4 linked regions of the Elephas maximus indicus genome follow. The protein of the gene in region 1 purifies or fractionates together with the protein of each later gene. This does not show direct contact. Links are inferred from orthologs where the notes say so. Each region holds a gene or a part of one and is shown in the gene's direction. Other genes may lie near its edges.

What was found.
Region 2: the proteins of CTNNB1 (region 1) and BTF3 purify together in Homo sapiens (affinity purification with mass spectrometry; 3 studies listed by BioGRID). This does not show direct contact. The link is inferred for Elephas maximus indicus from reciprocal best matches to the Homo sapiens genes CTNNB1 and BTF3.
Region 3: the proteins of CTNNB1 (region 1) and PARP1 purify together in Homo sapiens (affinity purification with mass spectrometry; 4 studies listed by BioGRID, with this or other methods). This does not show direct contact. The link is inferred for Elephas maximus indicus from reciprocal best matches to the Homo sapiens genes CTNNB1 and PARP1.
Region 4: the proteins of CTNNB1 (region 1) and SMAD3 purify together in Homo sapiens (affinity purification with western blotting; 6 studies listed by BioGRID, with this or other methods). This does not show direct contact. The link is inferred for Elephas maximus indicus from reciprocal best matches to the Homo sapiens genes CTNNB1 and SMAD3.

Annotation. Positions count from the first base shown.
Region 1 is NC_064838.1:45,680,664-45,688,455, forward strand, and holds the start of CTNNB1 (catenin beta-1), read left to right. Parts: upstream 1-4,747; 5' UTR 4,748-4,942; intron 4,943-7,792. UniProt on the Homo sapiens protein: Key downstream component of the canonical Wnt signaling pathway.
Region 2 is NC_064820.1:77,740,893-77,748,500, forward strand, and holds the start of BTF3 (transcription factor BTF3), read left to right. Parts: upstream 1-4,577; 5' UTR 4,578-4,671; coding exon 4,672-4,803; intron 4,804-5,138; coding exon 5,139-5,207; intron 5,208-7,608. UniProt on the Homo sapiens protein: When associated with NACA, prevents inappropriate targeting of non-secretory polypeptides to the endoplasmic reticulum (ER).
Region 3 is NC_064842.1:16,085,144-16,093,130, reverse strand, and holds the start of PARP1 (poly [ADP-ribose] polymerase 1), read left to right. Parts: upstream 1-4,954; 5' UTR 4,955-5,164; coding exon 5,165-5,284; intron 5,285-7,987. UniProt on the Homo sapiens protein: Poly-ADP-ribosyltransferase that mediates poly-ADP-ribosylation of proteins and plays a key role in DNA repair.
Region 4 is NC_064831.1:57,135,846-57,143,232, forward strand, and holds the start of SMAD3 (mothers against decapentaplegic homolog 3), read left to right. Parts: upstream 1-4,344; 5' UTR 4,345-4,862; coding exon 4,863-5,068; intron 5,069-7,387. UniProt on the Homo sapiens protein: Receptor-regulated SMAD (R-SMAD) that is an intracellular signal transducer and transcriptional modulator activated by TGF-beta (transforming growth factor) and activin type 1 receptor kinases.

The DNA of each region.
Region 1 (7,792 bases):
GAAAGAAATTTAGGCAAATTAAGCCCCCAACGTGCACTATAATTTTCTATTTCTGAACTGATTTGTAAGAGAATAAGGGTAACTGAAATTAGCAAAGCATCACCCCTCACAAAGATGGCGCGTGCAGAATTTGCGAAAGCGGAAAAGAAGGTGAAGGAGAAGCAAAAAAGGGACGGCATACTGCAGTCTGGGGTGGTGAGTGTTTGGATGGGGGTGGGGAAAATGCTGCAGTTTTCATGAAATAATAAGGTGGGGGAACAAAGGCATACAAAGAGTAGGTTTTTCATTGTTTGTAAAATATAAACACAGATGAATTCTGTCTTTGGTTGGTTCATGCTTTTCACTCTGCACAGCAGGGATGTTCTTAAGAAGTTGCCCTCTGCGAAATTTCACTAAATGGGAACCGTGGACCCTGCATGATGGGATTATAATCACACCAGCCACTCCTTTTACATAATTTTTTGTTTAAGATCCAGTAAGACTCCCTGTTTTTACTATATATAAAGCAATAGACATGTCTATGTCGATAAACTGAGGATTTGCGTCCCCATAGCCTAGCGCAAGCTAAAACAAAAACTGGTGATATCGTATCTACAAATCTCAATGGACTCAAAAACAATATGAAAATTTTTAGCTGACAAGAACATGTCTGCTGCCTGCAGTCCTTGCAACAGCTCACCATGTTGCCTACTAACCGAAAGATCAAAAATTATCGATTTCATGGCGCTGCGTGCTCTGGAAAGAAAAGCTACTTTAAAATTTGCATTGTTTAAGAAATGAGTTAAAAGAATCTTTTTTTTTTTTTTTTTCCTGAACACTTTGGAATGTGAAAATGGCTTGTTGTTTTAATCTTATCCATGATTTACCATAATTCTATTATTTTTAGCAGCTGGAGTCCAGAAATCATTTTTTTCGATGAATTTAGGATTTTGCCGCAGTATACATCTGCAGTCCCAGAATCCTCCGGTAAGTTAATCCTTCTTGCGATGGGAAACGCCTTTAACCTTCCTGTGAATGAAGTATCTGCAACCATTTTGAAATTTTTATTAGAGGTGTGTGCGTGTGTGTGTTGGGAGGTAGACGGTGCCTCCAAAGCATGATTTCTTAGGGATGTGGCGGTATTTGTATTAGTACTTAGCAACATGGAGAAACAGATACCTTTGTGTTCTTTGAATATCATGGGTGATGTCTCCATTTCTCGTCCTTCACACTTTCTATGGTTGCCATTAAAATGTACTTCCTCAGTATGGCAAGGAATGTCCTGCCAAACCAGCGAAGGCCTCCGGAACACAGAACTGCGAGCAGAAGGGTGTTCTTGGCATAACTGAAGAGGCCATGAACATAACGCTACTGCCACCACCACCACCACCACCACCATCGTGTTCCACCACCTTCACGGCCCCTCATTCGATCTGAAATGCACACCAGACGCAAGCTTTCCACACTGACTCTCCGCCAAATCTGCCCAGTGGGTTCCCAGATTACTTGTGTGTGCGAGAATAGCCAACCATGTAGTCTGACAAGAGGTATTTACAACTACTTAGCCTGTTGAGCTGGAACGAAATCAAAAGATAACACTGAACCCTGAGATGATGTATTGCAAATCAAAAATAGTCCATAAATAGCCCACTTGACGAACTGCTAAATGAAAAACTGACCCTAACTATTGTCTGGTGTTTTCAGGTTGTCATAAATACTTTTAATGTGCCTTCCTAGAGAGTGGGGATTTACTGTTTTTAAAAGCACGGACTATTATTTAGTCTTTTTGTTGGGGGGGGGGATTCCTTTTAAGGGGATTCCTTTTAAGGGAATTCGGATGTAGAGTCCAGAGACCACACCCTGATTTCACAGCTCTTGTTTTCTGTTTCTATTTCCAAGTAGTGCTGATTAACATTTATAATTATTAATTTAAAGGATCTAATACAAAAGATCCAGTCATCTGTTTCCTTCTTGCTAAACGAACCTCATTGTCTTAGGTGCTCAATAAGTGTTTAATTAATAGATTTGATAGAGTTAACCACCCAAAAAGTGAACTGGCCTTCTTCACAATGCTGACTCGATAAATGCTTCTGTCCCAAGTGCAAAAACAATCTCTGGGCATTTATTCCTTTGCCTAAAGGTGATTCAAAGGTATGTGTTTTAGCAAAGGGATGCTTTACGTTCGATTCTGTGTAGTCACTGCTTGATCTGCCAATGGTCGAATATCACAATAATACCTCCACTGCTAAACCAGCTGGAGACGTGCTGGGTTTCTAGGGACACTGGCTGAAATTTAGAACCATTTGTCTGTTGCAGTCTCACAGAACGAATTAATTTATCTCAAACTCAAGTGGGCTGGCTCTACAAGGAAAAGGTGATAATCAAGGGTTTTTTTTTTTTTTTTATGAAATGTCTTGCTCAAAGTCAATTTTTAAAAATCATTTTTTACAAAATCACTTATTTCACCAACTCATTAGGTATTTCGATACTTGTCCTTTGGTTTAATGATAGTATTTATCTTCATTGCACAGAAGTCATCTCATATTTTTGATGAGACAATTGGAACAATTTGTTTTATGAGAGGAGGAAATAAGTAATCGGAGAAATTTGTTAAATTCAACTGATTTGTTTTAATGCTAGTCACCCAATAACTCTTCAGTATACTTACATCTGACGGGAAAAACTGCTTGCTGCATTGCTGCAAATCTTATCATTTCCTCTAAAAACATGTGTTTGCTTAAAGTATCAACAGATTAAAAACATTAATTCTATATTTAGAGAAAAATGCTTGGATTATTTTGGCACCTGAATACAGACATACAAATTTAAGAGTATTTTTATCCTTTAGATTGTCTAATGATGCAAATATTTCTTACGCCAGTGTTAACACCATGCCTTATTCAGCAAAAATAAACTGAGCATAGAAAAAGCAAACATCTGCTAAAAAAAACCCTCTAAATACTGTTTAATCTGTCATCTGATTTTAAGACATATGACTGTAATCAAATCAACCCTAAATTCTTTAACTCTGTACAGAAGAGTTAAAATTGGGGATTAATACCTGGAAATACCATTTATACTTCTGAGTTTATATTAGAAATATTGCTTTGATTAAATACCTTTTTCTGTTCCAATTGTCTAAATTACGACCAGCTGAACTGACCACAAGCATCAGCTACACTTAATTCCACAGATTACTAGCAAAACTGCATATGATAAAGTCATTCTGGACAATAGATCTCACTGAGTATCATCTTAGGGCTTGGACTTTTTCATTGCAGGAACCCACATGGGCTATGGCGATAGACGACAGTTATCATAACTGTATATAATAAAGTATTTTTTAAAACTGCAGAACGGAGTTTAACCTACTGGCCCTGAAGTATTAGCTATGCTAAAACTACCAGTGCTACTCCTTGAGTGAACCAGTAAGGCTAGGTTTCCTGCCTGTACCTATGTATAAACGCTTCTTGTTTGCATGCATTAATTATAATTCTGGTATAAAAGCCCCAACATAACTTTCACTGTTGCTTTTTGTACTCTCTTCATTGCTTTAGATGAAAAATAAGCATAAAGCAATAGACTAGAGAAAGTGAGTCGATAATAATTGTTTCAGCTTTCACAAATGCCAATCTTGCTGGATTACAATGGGGACATTTCCAAGGGAGATGAAGACCCAACTTCAGCCTATCAAAACGAATTAGAAAATGTTTTTGTCGTTGAAGAAAATTAGCTTAAAAAAAAAATTAGAGGCTGTCTAGTCGACAACTCCTTCCGTAAACAACATACTTCGCTTTCTCATGTAACACCGTTGAAATACACCTCCCACAAAGAAAAATCTCCACAAATAAATCTACCGGTACTTAGCACAGCGGAACCAGATAAAATTGGAATCTATAAGAATTAACCTAACTGACTGTCTCTAGCTAATCTATCTCCATTAGTCATTTGTTCACAGTAGGCACTCATAAGGACTTGTTGAATTGCAGACCTGGCGCACAATCTAGAGCGCAGCCTCCCGTAGTGGGATGGAAGGCGGCTCGGCCCGGTCGCTGCCATCCGGATTCAGGCTGCGCAGCCGGTCGGGATGCGAGATCCACGATCCTGACGGTGGGGGGCTTTGGGGTGGTGTGCAGCTGGGCTACGAGCCTGGCCTGGCAGGGAGTGTGTGGCACAGACCACAACCGGAGTCCCCGACGGACAGCGGGGCAGCGGGGTCGGCGGCGGCGACGCCCAGGCAGAGCTCGAAGGCAGGCGGGCCCCGACCCCGGTGCCCGCGCCGCCACCCCTCGGCTTCGAACTTCCACCCTCCGGGGACCCGGCTCTGCCCGCTCCGCACAGCTCCCGAGGGTCGGGGCCCAGGGGCCGCCTCGGGCGGGCGGCGAAAAGCGCGCGGCGAGCCCGGCGTCGGCTCTCATGCTCCGGTGGGCGCGCAGGGCGGGGGCGCCGGGCTCGGGACAGTGGGAGACCTCGGTGCCGCCCTGCCCCCGCCCCAGCACGCAGGAACTCCGGCCTCTCCGCCTCAGGCCATAACGCCCCCACGGGACGGCCTCCGCTCCCGCGCGGAGAGGCAACTACCGGCCTGCACCCTAAAGATGGTCTGGGAGGGCGCGCGCCCCGCCCGGGCCCGGGGCCCTGGGGACGCGGCGGGCGGCCAGGCTGCCAGGGACTACTTTCCACCGCCCGCCCGCGCCCCGCCCCTTGTCCTCGCGTGGCGGAATGCTCCGCCAGCGGCGGCAGGATACAGCGCTGCTGCGCCCCTTATAAGAGCTCCTTGTGAGGCGCCATTTTAAGCCTCTCGGTCTGTGGCAGCTGCGCTAGCCCGGCCCTGGGAGCGGAGAGCGAGGGGAGGCGGAGACGGAAACTGTGGAAGGGCCAAGGAGCAGCTTCAGTCCCCGCCGAGCCGCCACCGCAGGCCGAGGACTACTGGACTCCCGCGGCGGGCGGAGCCTGTTCCCCTGAGGTGCTGGACGCTCCTTTCCTTACCCTTCCGGGGCTGCTCCTGCTCCCTCTTCGGAGCCAAACTTCGTCGCGGGCGCGCGGTCCCGGCAGCCGGAGGGGACCCGGGCCCGTTGCAGCCCGGAGGCCCGAGGCGGGGGGCGCGGGCTGGGGCGCCTTGGAGGCGGCGGCGACGGGCCGCGCCCGGTGGACGGAGGGCGGCGGCCGGGCCCCGATTCCGCTCGCGCTGCCCCTCGGCGGTCCGGGGGGCGCCGCTTGGGGGAGGAGGGGGCGCCGCGGGGGGCGCGTCCAGGAGCCCGGATGGCCGGCGGGTTGGGGGGGCCGTGGTTTCCGTCCGGGGCTCCGGCCGCGGTCGAGTTTGGGGGAGGGACCCTGGGCCTCGGGATGCGCCGGGGCTGGGGTGGGGGGCGGGGGTGGGGCTCCGCCTTCCCAGCCCGAGTCGAGAGTTGGGGTTCGGGCGCTGGGGAAGGGGCGCTACGCTAGGTCGCTCCTGCGGTGGGGACACAGCCAGTGGGCTTTCTAGAGTCCCCTTTTCTTTCCCAAGGAGAATAAGAAAATTATTATTTTCTAATGCCTGTGCGAGTTTGGCACTGGCGCTTGTTAAAATTGAAGCAACTTTAAGCCTTAGAGGAACAAAACTCTTCAGTGCAGCCGGTGCGATGCGCCAGCAGGGTTTGCCCGTGTAAGATTTGTGTCTTGCACCTAAATTTTCTTGTGTCGGGCAGGTGAATGATAGCCAGCGAGGACGCGTGGGATATTACTGGGAGTCTTGGGTTTATGTAGGTGGGTGTGAGACCCAGTGAAATGGGGGGGGGGGGAGTCCGAGGGCGACGGGCTGACTGTTAGTGTAAAGTGAAGTGTGGGACTTTGCCTCTGTTTTGAGAAATCTGTTCGTAAAAGCATTTTATTCCAATAGTTTTATAATTAAACTATTTTTAGAGCACATTTTTCCCCCCCAGCAGAGAGAATTTTTCCCCAGCTACGAAATTGGCCAAGTGTAATTCAAGCACGGCAACTCCTTTCAGTGTTTTGTCTGGGGGAAAGGCTTTTTTTTTTGAACAGAGACTTTTCGGAGTTCCCACAGCCCGCTTCTCAATCGGCTAAGCTCGAAAGCTTTGGCAGTTTGTTGTAGTTGTTTCCTTCGTTTTCTGCTCGCTTTTGGAGGCAGCATTGTCTCATACTTTGTATCTTCCAGACATCTGTGGTCTCCCCTCCCCCTGAGTTTGTGAGTGGTGAATGAAGAGAGACTGGGCTGCTGGTATGCAGAGGTCGGCAAAAGGAAATCGAGGAGTGGTTTTAGTGAAATGAGAGCTTTGTATCATGAATAGCGGTGGCTTAGACTAGACAGCGACTTGAAGAGACGGCAGCGTTTCTTTTGATAAAGTCTAGGCTAATCTTTTTCAGATTGCTAAGTTAGAAAAGTATTTTGCCTGGAATTTAGGAAGCCATTTCACTCTTTGTCCCTTGGTGAACATTTCATACCTTCAGAGAAGTTTTCTCCTTGCCTTGTCTTCATCCTGAGAAAGTAATGTTAGATAAAACTTGAAATGCTAATTAAGGTCTGCTGCTATTTACTTCCTGCTTAAATGAGTGACCAAGATGTGTTGTTTGGAATCTTTTCTTTTAAGTGTGATCTAAGTCTGCTGCTACATTTGTTTTACTTCTACATTTAAACTCACAAAACCTCTGGATTAAAAAAAAACAGTACCATCAATGTTTATTTGAGACTCTCCTTTCAGACTAGACAAAATTTGATTAATTTGCACCCAATATTCATTAATTTGACCTAGTCTTTGTTCTGAAGGCCATGTACAAGGACAAGGCCCTAAAGTGATTGCAACAGTAACTGAAGAACTTGAAAAACTTGAAGAAGACTGTTCCATAGGATTAAAGGAATGCAGAGACTATTCAGGTTTGAAGTCCTTGAGGGAGAAATAAAAAAACACTGCGCTAAAAGTCTCAGTGTAGCACGTAACTTAGAGTCCTTGTGGCTTCCTAGGCCTGAGAATTTTTCAGAGGCCAGAACGGTCATTTTCGATAGTTGTAAGGGAAAACTAACACTTTTTTTTCCCACAAGGTAGCTAATAAAAAATGAAGCATTTAACAATATAGAGGTGTCAAGAAGCAGTCAAGAGTTTTTTTTTTTAACCTGATTACTTCATTTACCAAGATTAATTTGTAGAAAAATTTATATTCAAGTATTAAAACTTATTGAACTTTGAATTGAGCTTTCTACTGCTGTTAGTGATGATTGGAGTAAAAATTGTCGTAAATGGAGTTCCATATGCTTGTTTTCATAAATCCTGTTATCCAGGATAGAAGGGAAAACATGAAGTAGGCAAGTTTCCCCAAATGTATTTTGAGATGTGATGTTTAGAAAAACTATCTGTGGATATCTTTTTTATTTGTTTAGTTGCGGGGGGAGGGGCATGACAAGTCGAATGTTGAAACTAGGGCCATGGAGAAATCTAAAGTTTGAATATCATTCTTACATGGTTATCAGTAGCAGTGAAATTAAACACCAGAAATGGACTGTGTAAGTATATTTATCTAGATGAAACTTGTATTATTGAAATGAAACAGTGCATCTGTCCAGTTATGAGTCTATTTCCCTTTCCTGGCTTAGTAGTTGCTGATAATAATTATAGATGAGTAGGTGGTAAATTTTAAGTCTGTTCTTTGAGCTTGGCTACAAGCACGCTTGACTGCCAACTCAAGGTGGAAAGAATGAAGGCTATTAGAGCAAGACAAACTTCCGGTGAAAGTATTGGCAACTATTTTCTAGTGCTGTATGTTGACTTGTAACATTATTTTTGAAAACACTGTGTTAAGTTGGTTGTTTTCTTACAGCCCA
Region 2 (7,608 bases), on another chromosome or scaffold:
GATGCACTATGCTCATGGATTCATGGATATGACAATTTAGGCTAAGTTAGATTGGTCGTTAGCATCCATTCCAACTTCTTTCAAGCTTGCTTATAAATTTAAAAAGTTAAAAATGACATTGCCCAGACTACTTTGCAGTTAGTGTTCTAGAGGTAAATTACTTCTGCCAATTAGGTACTTTTAAGTAAAATGTGGAAGGTGGAAATAAGGCTTCAACCTTCTTCCTGCTGTTTTTTGTGGGTTTTCTTTGCTTTTTTGCTGGCAGGCATAATTGTGTAGGTAGTGTTATTTTCTGCAGCAGTTTCCAAGTGCAGTCATTAGCTTTGTGGGTGTTGAGTAGTTGTTGTTACAGTATCTTTTTCGATCCCCGAATTGCAGCAACAATGGTGTGTTCTTAACATCAATAATTCCCAGTTGTGGGGTCCTGGTTCTCCACTGTCCTCATGGGGGCAGTGGCAGCAGCTCCCCTAATAGGCCAGTTCTACAATATATTATCCTGAGACTCATTTCTGATGACCCAGGCTAAAGCCCACGTCTCCAGCCCTTTAAACAATTTTCTAAGTACTGACTCCCTATGTTAAATCCCTACATATTCAAAACTGCCAGATCTATTTCCTACAACAGAACAGATTCATAAAGATGAGTCGAATCTTCCCAAATTAGAAAACATGTCAAACTTTCCCAAATTAATCTACCCAATCAATTCAAAAATTTAAAAATTGAACAAAATCTAAAATCTATATGGAATATAAATGTCAACTTCAAAAAAGAAAAGAGGGGGGTTACCCTATCACAAATGAAGAATATCGCATCTATGTATTAGTAATTAGTATTAGTGTATGGAGGTACTTTATTCTTTCTACTTGTATGTGTGTGAAGTTATCCACAGCAACCTGAAAAGATTATCCTATCTAGAGTTCAAGAGAAGGCAGGGTTGGAATGATAACTTGGGAGTCATAAAAATAAAGATCGCATTTAAAGTGATAGGATCAAACAATTTAAGAAGAGTGTAGATAGAAAAGAGAACAACGGAGACTAAAATGTGAACAATTCTAATTGAGGAAGATGAAGAGAGTAGACTGAGGAAATGCCGGTAAGGTAAAACAAGGGAAGTGGAATGCTTTGGAAGCCTGGAGAAGAAAAAGTTAGGGTTAGGGTTAGTGGTGGTTGAGCGTGTTAAATGCTTCTCAAAGACTAAAATGAGAACTGAGAATTTACCTTTTGGATTTGGCAAGATGGAGGTTTTTAGAACAGAGGAGCTGTTTCAGAGGACTGGAGTAAATGAAAACACATTTACGGCAGACTGAGAGAGAATGCGAGGAGACAAAGTGGAGATAAAGGCTTTAGGTAATTCTTTGGAGAAATTCTGTTGTACAGGTGAGCACAGAGTATTGGCCAGAAGGGAACATAGGTTAAAAGTAGATTTTTTGTTTTGCTCTCTTTTAAGATGCCTAATACTAAGGCACGTCAGTGTACTGGTAGAATGATCTAACGCAAAGAGAGAAAACAGCATTATAGGAGAGAATAACAGATGACGCAAGGTCCGGAATCTCATAAGCCAAAGTACAAGCAGGCAGAATATTTCTTCTATGTGTAACAGGAGTGAAGGCAGTATTTATAGGTTTAAATACATACAGGTCAGCAGGCAGAGGGAAGATGAGGTTGTTTCTATTTTCATACCTTTTAACCCTCTAAGTCTCAGTTCCCTCACTAGTAAAATGGGAAGTACCTACCTCATAAAATTTATGTGAGGGTCAAATGATCAAAGAGCAAGCAGTCGATATTAACCTGGTGGGAAATTGTTCTTTAGACTCCTAGTTCAATTTGCCACTAATTTACAATTGTCAATTTCTCATTTTGCATTAATAAAATACCACAATTAAAATAGCTATGATGGATAGGTAACTTAACAGGTTTGGAGGTGTTAGAGAAAGGTTTGCTGAGACATTTAAACTGACAGCCAAATGATATATAGGCACTAACTTGACAAAGATAGGGGTGCTAGAAGGAGAGTTCAAGTAGGTTTAGAAACAAAACAAAATTAAATGTCCCTTGTGGCTACCAGGAGCCATGGTGGTACAGCGGTTAAAAGCCCGGCTGCTAATCAAAAGGTTGGCAGTTTGAATGCTCCTTGGAAACCCTTTGGGGGCAGTTCTACTCTGTCCTACTGGGTTGTTATGAGTCAGAATTGACTCAGTGGCAACGAATTTTGAGGTGGCTACCAGGAGAGGGTCAGCCAGACCATGAAGCAACTAAAAAGCACGGCAACATTCACCCTGAGTGATTTCCCAATACCTCTTGTGGGCGGGAATGTGGCTCAATGGCCCATTAAAAGTAAGTATAATATAAAGTGAATATTTTCTTCTTGCTGAAGGATACTGAAGTCCAACTGAGGGGTGAAAACCATTCCTGGACTTTGATTAGACCATAAACTATAAACCAAAGAGGGCAAAAAGATTTCACCTTTCTTGCCAACTCTTTTGACAGAGGCCATCTTGAGTGTTGAGTAAAATGATTTTTAGGCTTGTTAAAGTGCAGCAGTCAAGCGTGGGAGGCAGTTATCCACATTTGCCATAGACATTGAGAGCACATGGGAAAAGGCAGCAGGTGAGACTCTTTCGCTATCCCTGAGCTAAGACCTCAACTTAGTAACAATTTTGGGGGAGTGAAAAAAAAAAAATCCTATCACTTATTGTTGAAAATACCTGTATATAAATATTAGCAGATTCAGAACTTTCTGACCACGCACAAAATAAGCAGAAGCGGCTAATGGAGTCAAAAGTCAAAATTTTCTTTTCTTACTAATAAGAAGTAAATCTATTAACCTATTTACTTCTTACTATTAAAAAGAAAAATCTTACTACGATTTTCAATGAGATTCTTAAAAATAACAAAAGAACAAGAGGGAACATTGTGAACCAAGAGGAAAAAAAAAAAAACAAACCTGGAACGTTTCCTAAACACAGTTGTATAAGAGGTAAGTCAGGTGGCAAGTGACATATTTAAGAAGTCTGTGCTTACATAAAAGCTCAGAAAACATGAGATGACTAGGGAAATTTCAAATGTCCCCAGTATAACATGGAAGAAGGGAAAAAGCTGTTCCTCAAACAGATATATACAGTCCTTTCAAAACGGGCAGTATTTCTCCATAGCACAGAATAGCTGTCAGTCATTTTGATCTTCATCTTTATGACTGTGACCCACATAGCCTAACACAACAAACATCCTTTTCCATACTAAACTTGACTCATATTTAATAATAGAAGCAAAATTATTTTTAATTGAGCAACTATCAACTGTTACACTAGCCTAAAAAGCAATACAGCTGTTCTCATCAGTTATCTCAATGGGACATTACAGTTTTAACATTCCTTACATGTGAAAAGTACTGAAAAACAAAACGAATAATCTTAATTGGAGAGGAATCCACACAAGAATTGTCTTCTATATAAACTGTATTCTTTCTAGCTAAGATTTTGGGCTGACTTTTGATTGGGAAAAAGCATTTTATAGCTAAGACCACAAAAAGGGTGTCGAAGCAGCATTTTTATTAAACAGTCATTTTTAATATTGGTGGGTTTATGGTAGATTGTCTTCCAGCTTGTACAGGCGTTTAGCAAATTTACCTCACACCCAGAAACCTAGATCCTCCAACCACACCGGGTACAAATCCTCCTTTGAATTACTTAGTTAAGAAAGATAATGTTTGTTCAATCGTAAATCGCTAATTGTCAAATCCACGCCAAACCGATACCAGGGAGTCAACTTTTTGCCTGTGAAAGGAGCAGGAGAAACAAAGTAATCACGTAGACTGGATTAAGCTGGTCAGCCAACTTGCTGAAATGCAGATTACCAGGTCCCACTCCCAGCCCTACTGAATCGTTTTGAGGGGCAGGATTTGGGGGTGCATTCTGAACATAAAAATTTCCAGAAATTCTGAATCATGGTCTCACAATCTACCAAACCACCTAATCTGGGAAAGCAAAATTAACTTCACTGTTTTTGACGTTTTGGCAGAAGCTCATTCGGGCTGAAGGGGAATTTCTAAAACACTGAGACGATCGTTTGAATCTACACAGTTCGGGGAGCGGAGAACAGCTAAAAAGCGAGCACACAGCGGGCGCCAGAGGCGTTCCCCGGAAACACGAACAAGAACTTTCTTCTTCGGGAAAAGAACTTCGGGATCAGGATCCGACGGAGACAGGACGGACTTACTCAACCTTAACTGTGCAAAGAACCATACTTCTGACCCCTCTGTAGCCTTTCCCCGGCCTACTCGGGAAGCCTCTAGCCCAGAGTCTCTCGCTGCAGGGCCAAAAAGAGAAGACCCGCGTGGCCGTCACAATCGCCGCGGCGCAGGGCCGCGCGTGCGTACCGAGGCGCCGAGCGCGCGACCAAGCCCGTTTCCTGACTTTTGGGGGGAAGTGGCGTTGGGTCACTTCCGGCCTCCCTCTAGCTGCCATCTTGCGTCCCCGCGTGTGTGCGCCTAGTCTCAGCTGGTCTGCCAGAGACCCCCTGGGCGCCAACCTTAGTCCCCCGCGCGGCCCCATTTCCGCTCCGACAAGGTACAAAAAGGCTCTGGACGCCGGCGTGGGAGGAGGACGGGAGCGGGGGCGGGAAGTTCCCGAAAGGAGCAAGACAGGGAGGGACAGGGCTCAGGAGAGGAAGGCGATGCGACGGACAGGCGCACCCACTCAGTCTGACTCTCGGGGGCGAGGTCGAGCCAGGGGCGGCTGCCCTGGGGTCGAGGCGACGCCGTCTCTTCCTCCTCCTCGCGGCGGAACCCGAGGACAGGAGCCTCAGGTACCACGAGGCTTGCTGAGAGTGGCTGGGCCGGGCGGGCCCTGGCTAGGCCAAGGCCGGGCCAGGGCCGGGGGTGGGGGATGCTGACTGGGCTCGGGTTAGAGCCCTTGTTCCCGGGCCGCAAAGAGCGGGGCGTTCCCGGGGACGGGTGGGGGAGGTGGTGGTTCTTTAAGCTCCTTCAAAACTGAAATTGGGAGCTTTGCGGGGTGGATTCGGGGATCCAGGCCTCGGCCTGTGTAGGACATTTACTCCCCTGCTGGTGTCTTGGGAAATAATGAGCGTGGAAGGCTAGAGTGAGCTAGACCTTTCCCGCTGAGGGCTTTCTGTTTTCCTAGATGAAAGAAACTATCATGAATCAGGAGAAACTCGCCAAACTGCAGGCACAAGTGCGCATTGGTGGAAAAGTAAGTTTTAGTGATTTTCTTTGGAAGATTTTTTTTTTTCTTTCACATTTCTGGTATGGTCGATTTGTCACTGTCTCCATCAAGGGTTATTTACAGAGCTAGCAAATGGGGGAGGGAGTGGTGAGATAGATACATAGTAGACCTGTAGGTTGTATATTTGAAAAATGTGTAACAGGCAAGTCAAAATTAAAAGAACGCTTGCTTACACTGAAAACATTGATATTATGTGACTGTATTTGTGTTTTCAGCGTTACAGTGCTTGAAGTAAGAAAGGGGCTTGCTAATTTGATTAGTAAGAAAACGTCATTTCAATTAGATTATCGTTGTGGACATCACACCACATTTGGCATTTATTTTGGCTTAAATTACATAAAGTCGATGCTTGATTTATGTTTATGTATGTAGAGAGAGGGTGAAACTTGGAAAAGTGGAAATCTGTGAAAGAAGGAAAAGTCAAACACCTTTCACCAAAACAAGTGATAGAAAAGTGGTCAGATTGCACCGTCCAAGGTGGAAAACTTCTGAGACCTGGAAAAACAAGGAAATCCTTGTGGAGTTTTGGCTCTCACAGGTTTTGCTCTATGTGTTTTAATTTTACTATGCTAACTCTGAATTTGTTGATAAGTTTCATCTCCTTGCAATTGAGAGTTTATAGTTTAAGGTTCCAGGTAATTGCTATACTTAATAGAAGTTTGTCAGTTGAGACCATTGCTTTCTGAGCTACATGCAGTCCAGGATAATTGTATATTTCCTAGGCTGTTTGAAGATAGGTACATCTTGGAGTTTAAAAGCAGTGGCTATAGATTTGAAAATGTTACCTGAGTAGATGTCTTTCAGTTTTTAACTTTGTGATTATGCTGAAACTGAGGGAATGGAAGTGATTGGTAGGGTTTTAAATAATCAGTATTGAATTAATTTGTTTTTCCTGGTAGATATTGATCATCTTTAAGGGGATTATTTTAATGAACTTGACAGGTTTCTAGCATGTTCTATGTAATTTAAGTCAGAAGTCCATCCTAAACAGAGGTCTACCTAGCTGCGTTGTACGTTGTGTTGGCACATTCCTAGTATTTAACAAGGTGTGGTAGCTTGTTGGAACAGAGCATGTCTTTACTTGGTAAAACTTGTAAAGCTTCATTGTACAGGTTTATTGCTTCTCAGTTTTTCTCACTTTAAGCATTTACTTTCAAGTAAAGGAGCCAAAAGTTGCACTTAGCCTCTCTTAAACTACTGGGTTTTGCCAGTAGTGAATTTATCCTGTTTTTTTGCTGAAGCTAGTAGTCTTCGAGATCCACACATCCCCATTAACAACAGTAGGGGTTTTTGTCCTTTTTAGCAGTTGCTGTAAGGTGGCCTTCAGGTGCCAGAAAAACCTAGCAAATTCTTTGTGGGTCAGGGTTTAAATGTTCTTATATTGTTGTCTTAAGCCACATTCCTTTTAATACAGATTTCAGAATCAGTAACCTGAATAATGTTCTTATGTGCAGTCTTTTTGTTACTCTTATTACTAGGCTTTAACGTTTGAGAGGCATCACTGGAGGGTAAAGGAAACGTTTTTGGAAGTTTTCTTAAGCATACTTAAAAGATGATGTAGGAGTCAACTCTGAATTAGTTATATAGGGAGTATTTCTGTAGTCCTGGGAATATGGAAATAGGATTTTCTGTACCTTTTGACAAATTTACTTCTTATGGGATGAGAAATTAGGTGAGCTAGTTTTGCTTTAGAGAAAACTTTGAAGTACTTTGGTGGTAAGTGGTATAAAGGACATTTCATTATCTAATCAGCATTGATGATAACAATTATTTCAGTAAAAATTTAATTCTACATATGCGAAGTGTATGAAAACTACAGGAGCAGTGCTGGGTTTTGTTTTTAGAATCTTATACTAAGTAGTTCCTTAGAGTCTTTTGGAAAGGACTCTCTGTAAACCAGATATTTACCTGACCACTTCAAGGTGATATAAGTTTTTTGGGGGTGTGGTAAGCAGGTTTTTTTTTTTTTTTTTGGTAGCTATTGATATTTTCTTCAGTTAAACTGTGATGTATTTAAGCCCTTACTTAAATGTAAAGCCCCCAGGGGGCTTTTAAGCCTAGTGGGGGGTGGATAGTCATTTTTTTTTTTTTTTTTAACCTCTTTTCACAGTGTGATAAATACAGTGCAAAAGAAGCATTTTCAAAAAATATATAATGATGGGGATAAGTTGATGTGGGGGGTATCTGAAGAGTTAAGGAATGCATCACAGAAGTGGTGAAGAGCAGAATTTTAAAGGAAAAGTGGAATTGGGGTGGGCATTGGGAAACAGTGGTGTGAAGCTGAAGACTCAGTAAGTGCTGGGTAGCCTTTCCATGAAGAGCGTCGTGTTTGGGACCATCTAAAGGGCTTAGCCTACATGAGGGGGGT
Region 3 (7,987 bases), on another chromosome or scaffold:
TAGCAGCTGAGTGCATTAAGGGCAATTAGGTGATACATGGTGCAATTAAACATCTTTTTATAAGCATTCTAGTTGTGTTGCTCTCTCCTACATTCAGTACAAGAGAGGAAGTAGAGGAGGTTGAGAAGCATTGGGTAAGGTTGATGAGCAAGAAAATTGGCTCTCCTTAGGGCTCTAGGGCAGGAATTCTTAACCTTTTGTGTGTGTGTGCCAAGGACCTTTGTGGTGGTGTGTAAAGCCCATGAACCCCTTCTCAGAATGGATTTTGTGTATGAAGTTATCTCAGTGCATTGGTAGCTTCCAAGTACACTATCAGGCAAGCTATTCCAGAAGTCACGGAAGAGAAAGCCTCACAGACGAAATTAAGATATTTGAATCACAGGGTTATTGAATCAGTTTAAAACACACAGCCTGAGCAAGGGGAGCCAGGTGGGGTTGGTCATACACACAGAGGAGGGTACCAAACCCAAACCGAACCTGTTGCTGTAAAGTCGATTCTGACTCATAGCAACCCTACAGAACAGAGTAGAACTGCCCCACAGGGTTTCCAAGGCTGTAAATCTCTGCAGAAGCAGACTGCTACTTCTTTCTCCCACAGAGCGGCTGGTGAGTTCTAACTGCCGGCCTTTTGGTTAGAAGCCAAGTGCTTAACCACTGTACTACCAGGGTTCCTGGAAAGAGTACAAGCAGGTGAAAGGACCATATCAGCTGAACCCTAATATTCATATCTTCTCCCTCTTCTCCTGTCACATCAGCCCTCCCCTCTGGTTGTGAGGTCAAAAGCTGAGGGTGCTCAAGGCGCTTCCACAGACAGAGGGTACCTGGAACCTACACACACTTGCTCTACGCCTGGACTGCAGCTGTAGCTCGCCATCTTTATACAGTTCAGCCTGCTGAACAGACATGGGTTTTATCTGTATTTCCTGGGCAGAGCAAATGTAGAGTCAGAATGGGGCCATAATGGTATTATCAATGGCGGACCACTTAGGGATGGCCTAGTTGTCAACCCAGAGATGGAATGATCACACCTTTTGACCTAGCTACTCTCTAAGTTAAACTTTCATTTATTCTGTCACACATTCCATTTATTCTATCTACATTTAATATATCTAACAGGTTACTAACTTATTTATTATCTATATTTAACACATCATATGGACTCCGGCTAGATCTCACAACCTACTTGCTTACTCATCATTCATTATCTCTTAAACTACTAGCTTCTTTACTCTCTGTGCTTAACACTTTTTATGAGTTTCACTCATTCTGTTTTTCTTGTCCTCTATATAAGAAGTGAATATTTTCAAATCCAGCACCCTCCCATTACAATAATGTTTTTAAATATATAAAGTGAAATATATAGTATTAAAAAAGAAACCAGTTATATTGAAAATACAGTTCTACTGAAAGACATCCTGTGTTCATGGGTTGATACACTTAATAGTCTAAGATGTCAACACTGCCCAAAGCAATCTACAGATTCAATGCAATCCCTATCAAAATTGCAACTGCCTTTTTTGCAGAAATGGAAAAGCTGATCCTTAAATCCATATGAAATTGCGAGGGGGCCCAAAAAGCCAAGGAAAACTTGAAAAAGAAGAATAAAGTAAGTGGACTAAACACTTTCCGATTTCAAAACTTGCTACAAAACGACAGTAATCAAAACAATGTCGTACTGGTATAATAATAGACATATAGACCAATGGGATAGAATTGAGAGTCCAGAAGTAAACCTATACGTCTATGGTTAATGAATTTTCAACAGAGTGCCAAGTCCATTCAACAAATGGTACTGGGACAACTGTATTTCCACATACAGAAGAATGAAGTTGAAACCCTACCTCATGACATATACGAAAATTAACTAAAAGTGGATCAATGACACAAATATAAGAGCTAAGCCATAAAACTCTTAGGAGAAAAAAGAGGGGTAAATTTTCAGAACCTTGTATTTGGCAATAAATGCTTAGATACGACACCAAAAGCATGACCAACAAAAGGAAACATATATAAATGAGACTTCATCAAAATTAAAAACTTTTGTGCACCAAAGGACATATCAAAAAAGTGAAAAGACAAGCTACGGAATGAGAGAAAATATTTGGAAGTCATACATCGGATAAGAGTTTAGTATCCAGAATATGTAAAAAACTTATACAACTCAACAAATAATCCTATGGAAAATGAGCAAAGGACTGAAATAGACAATTCTTTTAAAAAGATATGCAAAAGATGCTCAACATCATTAATCATAAGGGAAATGCAAATCAAACCCACAATGAGATGCCACTTCACACCTACTAGGATAGCTGTTATCAGAAAAAAAATGGGAAATAAGTGTTGTCGAGGACGTAGAGAGATTGCTGGTGGGAATGTAAAATGTCAGGAGCTGCTCTGGAAAACAGTTTGGTGGTTCCTCAAAAAGTTAAACATAGAATTACCATAAGCCCATTGCCCTCTAGTAGATTTCGACTCATCCCATGGCCATACAGGACAGAGTAGAACTGCCACACCCGGTTTCCAAGGCTGTGATCTTTATGGAAGCAGACCGCCACATCTTTCTCCCCCTGAGCGAGCTGGTGGGTTTGAACCAACCAGCCTGAACCTTTAACCACTGTACCACCAGGGCGCCTTGTTAAAATTAACAGCAATTCCATACCAGCAATATACTCAAAAGACTTGAAAGCAGGGATACAAACAGATATTTGTACATCAATGTTCACTGCAGCACCATTCACAATGGCCAAAAGGTAGAAACAACCCGTTACTGGAATAAGGTTCTTGCCTCTCACTGGTCAAGAATGAACAGGCTAAGGCACGCAGAATTTTCCACATAAGCAAAGCTTTATAGAAGACGCTTGCAAGCAGAGAAGAGGATGGCCTAGAGCAACGCATACCCCGTCTCACAGAACAAAAGACAGGCTGGGTTTTTAAAAGTTCTTGGGCGGTAAAAGACTCATGTTTATTAACACAGGCGGAGATAGTTAACTACAGTGCACGCACAGCAGCTTTCCAAGATAGCTCCTGTCCTGGAGGCCTCTGAGATTTGTAGCAGGACTTACGATGGGGTGTTGCGCCCGCGCAGTCACTCGCTCCAGCGTTTGATTCCCTGGCTGCTGCTGCAGCCCCTCACTGCCCCTGGTGCAAGGTCACACAGCAGGTCACAGGTAGATGTTCTGCGCATGTTCCTGGGGCTGGTTTTCTCCAGCTGCTTCTGAAAAACAACTTTAAAGAAATGTGTGGGCTATTTTCTGATACCCTGCCCCATTCTGGGCCCCATTGTTCTGGAGAATGGCTTTGTTTCTGCGCCCTGGCCCATTTCCTGTTACTTCACTTGCAGATTTGGGGGGCCCTCTATTTCCTGTGTTCAACCCAAATGCTCATCAACAAGATGAATAAACATATGTGGTACATAAATTAAAAAAAAGAAAAAAAAATTTTTTTTTAGTGGAATAATTACTCAACCATAAAGAGAAATGAAGTTCTGATACATGCCACCACACGGATGAACCTTGCAAAAAACATTTATACTAAGTGAAATAAGCCAGACATAAAAGGACAAATATTGTATGATGTCATTTTTACGGAATGTAAGTAGCAAATGCATAAAGAGAGAAAGTAGACTAGTAATTACCGTGGACTGAGGGTAGAATGAGGAGCTTTTTCTCAATGGGCACAACGTTTTTCTTTGAGGTGGTGAATAAGTTTCGGAAACAGTGGTGATGGTTGCACGACATTGTGAATATAATTAATGCCACTGAAGTGTACACTTAAAAATGGTTAAGATAGGAAATTTTATGTTCTGTATATGTTTTACCACAATAAAAAAAAAATTCAGCTCTGCATTAAATAACAAGATAAATCAACTCAGCAGTACCGGGTTTGGGTTTTTTTGTTTGTTTGTTTGTTTGTTTGTTTTGGTATGAGGAGGTCTAGTAACTACCGCTCGTGCAAGTACCGATGAACTTAAACAGTAGTTTGAATTATCTCCAACAACTGTAAAAACCCATTATCATCAAGTTGATTCCAACTCCTAGCAACCCTATAGGACAGAGCAGAGCTGCCCCACAGGATTTCCAAGGAGCCCCTGGTGCATTCAAACTCCCAACCTTCTGGTTAGCAGCCGAACTCTTAACCACTACACCACCAGGGTTTCCAACTGGCATAAAGTGATATGAAAGTATGTGACACTGTATATCACACTGTGACCCCACCCTGAATCCTCCCCCAACCCTTCCCTTCAACAGCAGATACTGGTATTGCTAATACTCCTGGGATTTAAATTCATAATGAGCAAGAGTCTGAATTTCAGTTCGTCTTCTGTCCCAATGGTCTATGGACTTCAGGTTAGAACACCCGCCAAGGGTCAGTTCGGGTTGACCTCCCACCACACGGTCCACCCTACAACAGATCAGTCATATTCAAGAGCCACCCAGCATCTTCCAGAACAGACTTGCCCTTCGCGGGCAAGAGGACACACTTGAAAAAGGGCTACCCATTGCCATGGAGTCCCTGCTGACTCATAGCAACCCTATAGGACAGGGTAGAACTGCCCCATAGAGTACCCGAGGCTTTATGGAACCCAAATGCCATGTCTTTCTCCCGCAGAGCGGCTGGTGAGTTGGAACCGCCAACCTTTGGGTTTGCAGCCAAGCACTTAACCACTGCGCCACCAGGGCTCCTTATAAAACGGGCAAGAAAAAAGAAGATTTTTTTTTTTAGAGGGTAGAATTAGAGTAGTAAGAGCAAGTAAGCTTCTCTGGAAGACAAAATGGGTAAAAGGAAGGGGACTGGTCCTTCACAGACGGTTCGAGCCCCACCACCATCCCCCTCTGGCAAACAGCAGCTGCTCAGAAAACGCCGCTTCGGGCGCACAGGAGACACCGCCCACCCGCGACCCGCAGGGGGCGCGCGCGTGCTGCCCGCCCGCCCCGTAAGCGCAGGCGCCGGGGACGTTCCCGCGGCCAGGCATCAGCAATCTATCGGGGAGCGCCGGGTGGTCGGCGCGGCGTGGTCGGCGGGGGCGGCGGCTTTGGGCGCTGGGGCGCCTGCGGTGGGCGGGCAGGCACGCGCGGGGCGGACGGGGCGGCGGCAGCCGGCGGCGGCAGCGTGTCTTCAGGTGGCGGCGTCGGGCTCCAGGAGCTGCAGCGGCACGAGGAGGAGGATGGCGGAGTCCTCGGACAAGCTCTATCGGGCCGAGTACGCCAAGAGCGGGCGCGCCTCTTGCAAGAAGTGCAAGGAGAACATTCCCAAGGACTCGCTCCGGATGGCCATCATGGTGCAGGTGCGGCCCGGAGGCCCGAGCTGGGCGTCCGTTGCGGCCCCGGCGGCGCGGGCCGCTTTGTACCGAGCGGGTCGAGCGGCGGGCGCAGCCCCTCCCTGAGAGCGCGAACCCCCCACTCGCCCCCGCAGTGTTCAGACGTGGAAGGGGCGGGTTGGGGAGGGTGCAGGCTGGAGAGCTGGCCCGGAGGGGCGAGCAGGGCCGGGAGGGGCGAGCAGGGCCCGGAGGGGCGAGCAGGGCCGAGAGGGGCGAGCAGGGCCGAGAGGGGCGAGCAGGGCCGAGAGGGGCGAGCAGGGCCCGGAGGGGCGAGCAGGGCCCGGAGGGGCGAGCAGGGCCCGGAGGGGCGAGCAGGGCCGAGAGGGGCGAGCAGGGCCCGGAGGGGCGAGCAGGGCCCGGAGGGGCGAGCAGGGCCCGGGGCCGCCCGAGCCGCTGGCCTGGGCCTGTGGGCGCCGCTGCTGCCACCATTCCTCGCGCGCTGCGTGGCCCGCCCGGGGACATTCCCGGACGGTTTTGTTGATCTTGCAGCAAAAACCCGGGAAATCTGGGGCTGCTGGTACCTTTTGATTTTTAAAAGTCGCTTCTGCCCTTGTTTAGGGCGGAAGAGCTCTTGTTTTTTCTTTTTACTGTCCGCCTTAGGGGGGAAAATAGATATGGTCTTTCGAAACTAGGCTGATTTTTTTTTTTAACACGTTATTTTTTCGAGCAGTTTTAGGTTTTCGGAAAAAGTGAACCGACTAGAGAGCTCCGTATCATCCCCTCCCCGCTGCACAGTGTTCTCCCCGTTATTAACACCTTGCAGTGGTGTGGTACATGTGTTACTGACGATGAACCAATGTTGATAAACTTAACTAAAGCCCGTAGTTTACGTTAGGGTTTTACTCTGTGTTGTATGTACGCTCCTGTCGGTGTTGACAAATGCGTAATATGTCCACCATTACAGCATTGTACAGAATAGTTTCACGGCCCTAAAAATGCCTTGTGCTCCACCTATTTATTCATCCCTCTCCCTGACTCCTGGCAACCCCTTTCACTTTGCTTGTAGGCTTGACTTTTTCCAGAATGTCCATATGGTTAGGATGGTACAGTATATAGTGTTTTCAGACTGGAAGCTAGCCTAACTTTGACCTACCTTGTGCTGGAAGATTTTTGTCCTACATTGATGCTGGCTGCTGACATGGGAGAATTTTTTTTCTTTTTTAAATCTATTTTTGGCTCTCATGTCAGCGGCCTGCTCACCCTCATTTTGAATCTTAATTTATGCAAAACTATGCAAGTTGGTGTAGTCTCTGTCCAGTACACGCCCTGCGGGTCTCACATATGTTTTAAAATAATATATCCCAGGTTCACAGATGTTCCCTTAATGCGTTTACAGCTGTCTGCTATGTGTAGAGTGGCTCTGGGAGGGTTGGTCATCTGGGCTTTTTGACCAGTCAGGGGTTCCCCCTCAGTGCCCTAAGGGGTTTTGGAGTGTACTGTGAGGTGGTGTGTCTTAATGCTCCTGCTAAGGGCTGGGGGTTCCTGCCTGCTCCAGCTTACAGTTTGCTGATGTAATTCTGGCTCTCACCTAGCTTGGTGCTCAGCATCAGTTAACTGTTTTCCTCCCTTGCAGCGAGACAGGAGTGTGTGTGAGGAATGACCACATAGCCCTCACTGGATATTCAGGACTTATGGGGTAGAGGTGTGGGAGACAGTACACATTAATGAAGTGGGTACCCAGTGCCAGGTGTACTTTATTCATTTCATAATATGGCAGTTACTGAGGTGGTTATCTTGGCATCCTCAGGACCTACCTAGTTCTGTACCTGGCATATGTATTTATTCAGTAAACATTTACTGAGCACTTGTTAAGTCCCAGGCACTGTGTTAGGTGCTAGGAACATAAAGACACACTGCTGGTCAGGGGTGGTATCCCCCTCATGGAACTGTGTGCCCAAGAGAGGAGGCCAAGAGGTCGCGCAAAGTGTGGGAGCTTGAAAAGGAGTCATTGTGTACAAAAGTGGGGCACAGGAAAATGAGGATAGAGGAGTAGCCTGGACCTGCAATTTGAAGAGCCATTTCTCCCATTAAGGGGCTTTGAATGGGGCATTGGTGCATCGGTGGTAGAATTCTCACCTCCCACGAGGGAGACCTGGGTTCTATTACCAGCCAGTGTACCTCGTGTGCAGCCACTACCCGTCTGTCAAGTTTGTCATACTGTGGTAGCTTGAGTGTTGCTGTAATGCTGGAAGCTTTGCCACTGGTATTTCAGATACCATCACAGTCACCCATGGTGCACAGGCTTCAGCAGAGCTTCCCAAACAAAGACTAAGAAGAAAGACCTGGCAATTTACTTCCGAAAATTAGCCAGTTAGCCAGTGAAAACTATTCATTACAAGGAAACATTGTGAGATTCACAACCTATCATGGGGATGGCACAGCCACAGGCAGTATTTCTATCGTACTTGGGGTCACCGTGAGCTGGGGCCAACGTGATGGCAGCTAACAATGATAGCAGGAGGTTTTGAATTTTACCCTCAGTATATGGGGAGCCTGCTCTTATGAAGTCCCATCTCAGTGCAAGGATTCTGCAGGGATTCTTAACCTAGGGTCTGTGGGATGGTGGCTGGAACTCAGAAGAAATCCATGAATTGGTGTGGGAAAATTTTTTACATCCCTATTTTTACTAATCTCTAGATGAAATTTAGTATTTCCCCTAATAACGAATGT
Region 4 (7,387 bases), on another chromosome or scaffold:
TCAAATGTGAGATACCGGGATCGCTGAGCTGGAAACTGCTGGGAGCCAAAGGTTCTGTCTTCTGAGCAAACTGGAGAATTAGTATATTGACTAACTTGTGCCAAGCACCTTTTTAACACTGCAACTCTGGAGCAGAGGGTTAAGTCACTCATGCTCCTCAGTACATATCATTATAGATAGATCTACAATTTCATTTATGTCCCTGTTAGTCTTCCCCCAATCCCTACACACTCACTCTTAAACACCCATTCTGCTGTGTTTTGAGTGTAACTTTTTCTTTTTATAATTCAAACTGTATACAATAGTTGAGTGTGTAAGTATTTTTAGTGGGAATGGACTGGATGGCACTGGGCTTGGGTTTTTTTTTTTTTAAGTTTACCTATGTAGCAGTATTTATTATTTATTTCATTCTGTCTTTTCACTTGGCACTGTTTTTCAGATCCATCCATTTGCTCTGTGTACATTGCACCCATTGCTTAACTTTTGCAAAGTACCCCGTGGTATGCATTTACCACATCTATGTCTACGGAGTCCCTACTGTGTGCTTGTGCTATTCTCCATGCATTATTTCATTATATTCTCATAGCAATCCTAAGCAATCCTGTTAGTACTATTTCCATTTTATGAATGAGGAAACTGAGACGCAGAGAGTTAAGTAACTCACCCAAAGTCACACAGCTAGACGTGGTAGCACTAGAAGCTTAACCCAGATCTGACTGTTGCCACCGGAGAGCTCACAGAGAGAAATCTAACTGAAGACAGAAGTTCTCTCTTAGGTGAGGGGACGGAGCCTGACAGAGTTCTCGTCCTGACTCGGCTGCTTACCTCCATAGTGCAAAAGGCCTCCGTTCATCAGATGTTACTTCCTGTGTAAAACGAGAAGCCTGCACTGGAGGAGAACAACTTTAATGCTCTTTCTAGATTCACCACTTATTGGTTAACTATCCTTTCACTAATGGAGAAATAATCAGAAGTCAGGTGTTTGTTCCTTTCCAGTACTGCACCTGGGAGCCACTCCAAAGACATGAAAGCCCTTTGTCATGTCTGCTCCCTGCTTGCAAGACTCCTCCCCAATAGAACTAAGTATTCCCAGGAAAATGGAGTTGCTGCCTCTGCCCCCACCCACCTCTCTTGAACTTTGCACTCACCATGATGAAATATTAACCGGGCTAATGTTTCTCTTCCAAGGGCAACCTCTGCAGAAGCAGGCCTGGCTGGGCCCCAGGAGACTGGGTGCCAGAACAGGGTGCGTATCTATTGCGAGCCGCCCACCCATTCATCACCAAGAGTCAAGAAAGCACACAGGGGGCTCTCAGCACTGGGAGGAATCAACTTCTCGGCCCTCCTCAGTGCTTTGAGAAACTGGGCTTATTCTCCCAACCCTTCAGATGGAGAACCAGGTCAGGGGAGAAACAACTAGCCCAGAAACATCACTATTGGACTCACACGTGGGTCCAGTAGTTTTTCTGCAAGCACAGCTATCCCTGCCACACGGACACCAGAACGGAGAGGAGGCACAGGAAAGTGTGATGCAGCCACACCAACTAGATGGTTGACTAGTTATTTCTTCCCATCAGGAAACGAAGAAGGCTGAACAAGTGCCCCTTCCAATGCCATGATTTTAGACAGCACAGTGGTTATGCATTCGGCTGCTATTCAAAAGGTTGGTTCAGAGCCACCAGCCACTCCTTGGAAACCCTATGGAGCAATTCTACTCTGTCCTATAGGGTCACTATGAGTCAGAACCTACTCAAAGGCAGTGGGTTCCCATAAGGGTTAGAGTACATTGCCAGGCCCTTCTCCTACATTCAGTCCTCAAATCTCTCAGGTGGGGACATAGCAGCCTGAAGAGAGTACTATTCCTGCCTCTGAGACTTACCTCCAAAGTGCACAACACCTCCGTTCAGCAGGGGTTTGCACTGAAGAAGGATTTTAACACTTTCTAGATTCACCATCCTGGACAATAAATACCGCTCGCTGGTCCATTCTCACAGCTGAGGGAACAGACGCTCAGCAAAGTGAAGGGAGGGAGATAGCCAGGATTCAGAACCAGGTTAGTCATGGATGGAGTATGACCTCTTTTTACTTCATCTGGCTGCCTCTTAAAGGTTGGACTTGCTTGGTCTGATGTTCAGGAAAAAAGGATCATTTTACTGGGAGATGGTGACTCCCATTCTTGCCCACGGAGGCACACCCCTCCCTTTGGTGCTTCTCTGGGCTGTGAGCTCCTTGAGGTTGGGGACCTTCATCTTTCCTTTGGGCTCTCCTAGAACTAGGTAGGAGGACTGCAACACAGAGGTGCTCAATAGATGCTTGACTAATGAACTGAGCTCCCAACCTGCCCCCTCTTAATGGCATCAGCTGTGGGCCTGAGATGTTGGCTCTACCGCTTTGTAACACTTGACCATATGCAAAGCCTTTTTTCATATTAGATTCCCACAACCATTCTAGGAGGCTGAGAGGAAAGGTATTTCTAGGCTCATTTTACAGGTGAGCAAACATTTCTTGGGGTATCACAACAGTGTGCCCCTGTAAAGAGCTTTCATTGTGCAAAGAGCACCTCCAGTCATGTGACTTTGCCTTCCATAACTTCCTAAGGCAGCTGGGTGCTGTGGCAAGAATGTAGACTGAGGTCTCACAAAGCACTAGGTTCAAATCCCAGCTCTACTACTTGGAACGCTTAGGAAGCATGGCAAGCTCACTGTGTTTCAGGTTCCTGTGAGCTACAGTGAGATCGACCTCAAGAGTTGTCCTGAAGATTAAATCAGACGGCAGCACCTGAGCAACCTGGGTTGACAAAAAAAAAGTAGATTGTCTTCCTTCTTTCTCTTTCTCCATGGGGAAACTGAGGGCTGGGAAGAAGGGAGTGAAACCTAAGACCACAGTGGCAGTGGATTATAGCAGGAGGACCAACCAGGAACATGAACCAGGTTGCTAAGTTCCAGTGGGGGTTCAGGGCATCTTTAAGGTCTGGGCAGGGCAGGCTTTGGAAGGAGGGGAGGACAGAGAGCAGTACCCAGGAGCAGAAGCCACAGGCTTGGGTGAAGCCATTCTCTGTGACAAGGCAAGGGCCCCTGCACCTTCTGGGCTGACTTTGTGGATGCGGCCACACCTCACTGGGCTTTGTAACTCCCCACCCGCTTGAGGGTTTGCAGATAACTTCTTTCTCACCACGGGCGTTTCCTGCTGTTAAAAACAAACAAAGGCTTTAGACACCGGGCTAGGGGCAGGGTCGGGGGAGAAGGCCGTAGGCATTGGGGAACTGTGGTGACTCCTGAAAGCGGCTGAGGGGCCTGTGGTCAAACGTCCCTGAATCACTCAGGTGGCGAGAAAAGCCCCGGAGCTCCCCCAGAGTTTGTTTGCTTCCCACCCAGGATAAGTTTGAATAATAAAGTTCTGGGGTACTACTCCCGTTCTGCGCCACTTTTTTCTGAGGCCCCTGCTTTGAAAACAAAGCTGTCTTCTGTTTCTTGGTTGCTGGATTTCGGATCTTTCTGTGTAAGACTCCACAACACCTTGTAAAGCAATTTCCCCCTAAAGGTAAATTCTAAACCGTCTTCTTTCATTCCTTCATCAACTCAGCAGATAGATGTCTTTGAGGTCCTTTCCATCGGGCACTTGGTTCCCAGGGCCCAAGGGACCCTTGGCTTCAGCTAGAGTCCGAGGAGTCCCTGAGGTCCCCAAATCTCCACTTCTGAGAGTCCCCTCCTACCCCCTAGCTCTCGCCTCCGCACTCAGTCTCGGGACTCTCAGCTGGTGTGATCTCACCGATGAGAGACTAAAAACAGCACCCGGGTCGCCCGCGCCGGCCAAGGCCTCGGAGCGGGATCAGCGCGCGCGGGGCCTCGGCCTTACGTGCGTCCCCTCTCGGGGCCGGGTCCTCGGGTGCACCGCTAGCCCTTGGCGGGACGGCGCCAACTTGCTGCAAGCCCAGCCCTCTCCGGCCGGCAACTCCAACAGAGCTTCCCGAGTGTGGGTTCCGAGAGGGGACGCCAGGGCCGGCGCCCGGGCCTCCCGCCTGGGGTCCCTCTCGCCGCTCCTTTCCCACGACTTCCTCCCGGCGCCTGCCCGACTTCGGGTCGCGGCCGCGCGGACGCCCGCGCGCTCCAGCCGGGGCCGCGGCAGCCCGGGTCGCCCACGTGGGCTCGCTAGGCGCGGGGCGGGGGCAGGCTGGGCGCCCTCCCCGGAGCAAGGGGCGGGTAGGGCGCCCGGGGAGGAGGCGGTGGGGCGCGGAGGAGGAGGCGGAGAGCCCCAGCGGCGAGGGGGCGGTGACAGGGTTTGGAAAGGAGGCTGCACGCGGATTTGCATGAAACACAGACTGGGAGCGGGCGGGAGCGGGAGCGCGGCGCAGGCACCGGCCGGCCCAGCGAGCGCGCAGCGAGTACGGAGGAGGAGGGAAGCCGGGAGGCGAGGCCGCAGAGGCGGAGGGATCTGCGCATCAAAGCGAGCGAGGAGTGCAAAGTTTGGCTCGGGGGTTGGACTTTCCTTCCCGGAGGCGGCACCCAAACTGCTACCCCGTGCGGAAACCCAAACTTTTTTCTGCCACTCCGAGTCTCCCGGCCGCCGCCTCTGCCCCGCGTTCGGGGCCTGCTCAAACCGGTGCCGCTGTCGTCCGCCCGCCTCTCCTGCCGCCCTTCTCCCCGCCGTGGGAGCCGCTCGGGGCGCAGGGCCGCGCGCCGAGCCCCGCAGGCTGCAGCGCCGCGGCTCGGCCCGGCACACGGGAAAGTTCGCGGAGAGTTGAGGCGAAGTTTGGGCGGCCGCGGCCGGCCCCGGCAGAACTCCCTTCTGCGCCCCCGGCGTCCCGCCGCGTCCAGCCCCGCCGGGGGCGCCCCTGGCCGCCCGCGCGTCCCCACCCCCCAGCCATGTCGTCCATCCTGCCCTTCACCCCCCCGATCGTGAAGCGCCTGCTGGGCTGGAAGAAGGGCGAGCAGAACGGGCAGGAGGAGAAGTGGTGCGAGAAGGCGGTCAAGAGCTTGGTCAAGAAACTCAAGAAGACGGGGCAGCTGGACGAGCTGGAGAAGGCCATCACCACGCAGAACGTCAACACCAAGTGCATCACCATCCCCAGGTGGGGGCCCCGGGGCCCCGGGGGGCGCGCCGGGCCCAGCCCCTTGTTGCGCAGGGTCGGCTGGGTGCATTTGGAGAGGGTGTGTTTGTGTGTGTGTGTAAGGGGGGGGCTGGGGCGCCAGCAGGAAGGGGGTGAGGGGACCCCAAATAAAACCCTTTCTGGCTTTGCAAAAGATTCAGAGCCTGGGGCTTCCACGCGGCGCTCTCGCTTCCAGACTCCACACTCGCTCTCCATCTCCCGGAAAAGGGGGTGCCGCTGGAATTGGCCGCCCCCACCCCGGGGCGCTGCGGGCTGGAAGTTGAGGCCCGCTTTGTTCGGCTCGGCGGGCCGGAGCCCCTCCTCTGCCGCTGCCTCCCGCCCCCGCGGCCCGCGCTCGTGGAGGTGGTGGTGTGTCTCCCTTTCTTTTCTTCAGCCCTGTCCCCCCTCTCCTCCTCAGCAGGAATGCAGTCCGTACAGCCGGGGCTGTGGGTGAGGAGCAGGAGCTCGTGATTGACAGATTCCTTCTTCTTTCTCTGTTTGCCTTCGGGATTAGCATTTTTATCGAGTATTTTTAGACTCGGTTGTGCCAGTCTCCCGCCCCCTCCGCACGCAGACACGCACTTAGTTGCAGTGCGCTGTTCTGACTTTCCAGTAGGAGAGACCAGTGGCGGAGAGTAGGGTCGTCCTGCTCTCCCCGCCCTGCACCGCCCGGCCCCGCACTGATTTTGCCCTCCTTTTAGCCTAGCAGATTGCAGGTCGTTGCAGAACAGAGCCGGCTAGATAACAAAACGCACCCCAAAGTGGGCCTCGCAAGGCCCTCGCATTCCTGCAGAGCCCTCTTTCCCAAAGCGCTTTACCATCTGTCTGGACCTCCTTTATCCTCCGGATCGCGCTCGCTGTGTCGGGCGGGAGCTCACAGATGGCTGATAGAAGGGGTCACTGACTTCTCTCCACTTCCTGGACCCTCGATTAGCTTAGTTGCGCCTGGCAGGGAATTGGGGTGGGGGCGGCAGCTTGACCTCCCGTCTCTCCCTCCCAGCCCCCTTTGAAGTCTGATTCTGAGCAAGGGCCTGGGGAGTGTGTGTGTGTGCGTGTGTGTGTGTGTGTGTGTGTGTGTAGGGGTAGTGGGGCGTTGTGGGGAGCCCCAGGCTGCAGAGGAACGAGTTGAGGGCCCCAAGACCAGAGTCCCAGATGGATTGTCATCCTTGCGTCAAGGCCAGGGGTGGACTCCATCCTTGGCCACCTGCTTGGGGCAGCTGTGCGAGGGCTGCCAGCCGTGGCAGGCAGGCACAAAGCAACATCTGTCCACGGAATCCCAGAGCAGGCCTCCTCTGGAAATAAATGCCACATATGGTGGGAGCGCTGACTTAAAAAATAATTTTTTTTAAACTGGGTGGATCCAGTCAATAAAGGGGGGAGGGAAGGCGGTGTGCTGTCTGGGAAGTGTGTGCTGGGTGTGTGATCAGGAGCCAGAACTGACTTCAGAGGAGGTGGTGTGATGGGCTGGTCGGAGAGACCTGGTTCTGCTCCCAGCTCCGGTTCTGAATTCTTCTTTATTCCTGTGGTTGGGGGAGGGTGTCTTACTTCTCCTATCTGAGGACGGCTCTGCAAAACCTGCCTTCTCCTTACCTGTCCAGGGTGCCCTGAGAACACCTTCTCACAAGTTGAAGCAGAGAAAAGGTAGCAATTATAGCCGAGAAAGTGTTTTACAGTTTACAGAGCACTTTCACATGGTTTTATGAAGTACTTAAAAGAAAGCAACCAACCAACCCCTGGAAAATAAAGCAGTTATGCTGAAGATTATCTCATTTTTAAAGCTGAGAAAACTTTGGAGGAGAGAAGTGAAAAGGCTTGGCATAGAGGGCTTGGGATTCTCAGCAAACCTGGTACTCTTTCTGTTACTCTGTGCTGCTGTGTACTTGGAAGTTTCTGGATAAATCCTTTGCTGAATGCTTAAAGCAAGGTTAGCTGGGTGGAGGTTGTGGATGTTTCCTTGGAAAGATTACTCTTCTCGTTGTATCGTCTGGCTGATAACAGCTTGGAGAAGCCTTGCTTTTCCTTGCCTTGGTGGGAGCTTGCCCTCTGTGGAGACATAGCTGTGTGTGGCCTGCCTTTTCTGATTTCAGGATCCTCTGTAGCTCAACGCATGTGAACGCTTTGGATGTCTCTGAGAGTTTAAGCTAACCTTCTCCCTGGCTTTCTTCGGACTCTGTTTTTTTTTTTTTTCTTTCTTTCTCCCTGGCTTTCTGCGGACTCTGTTAGACTGGGGCATCTCCTACCCGCCTGGCAAGGACCCGATGCTAAGGTGGATTTTTTTTTTCATCTTTTCCCAGTTAGCGA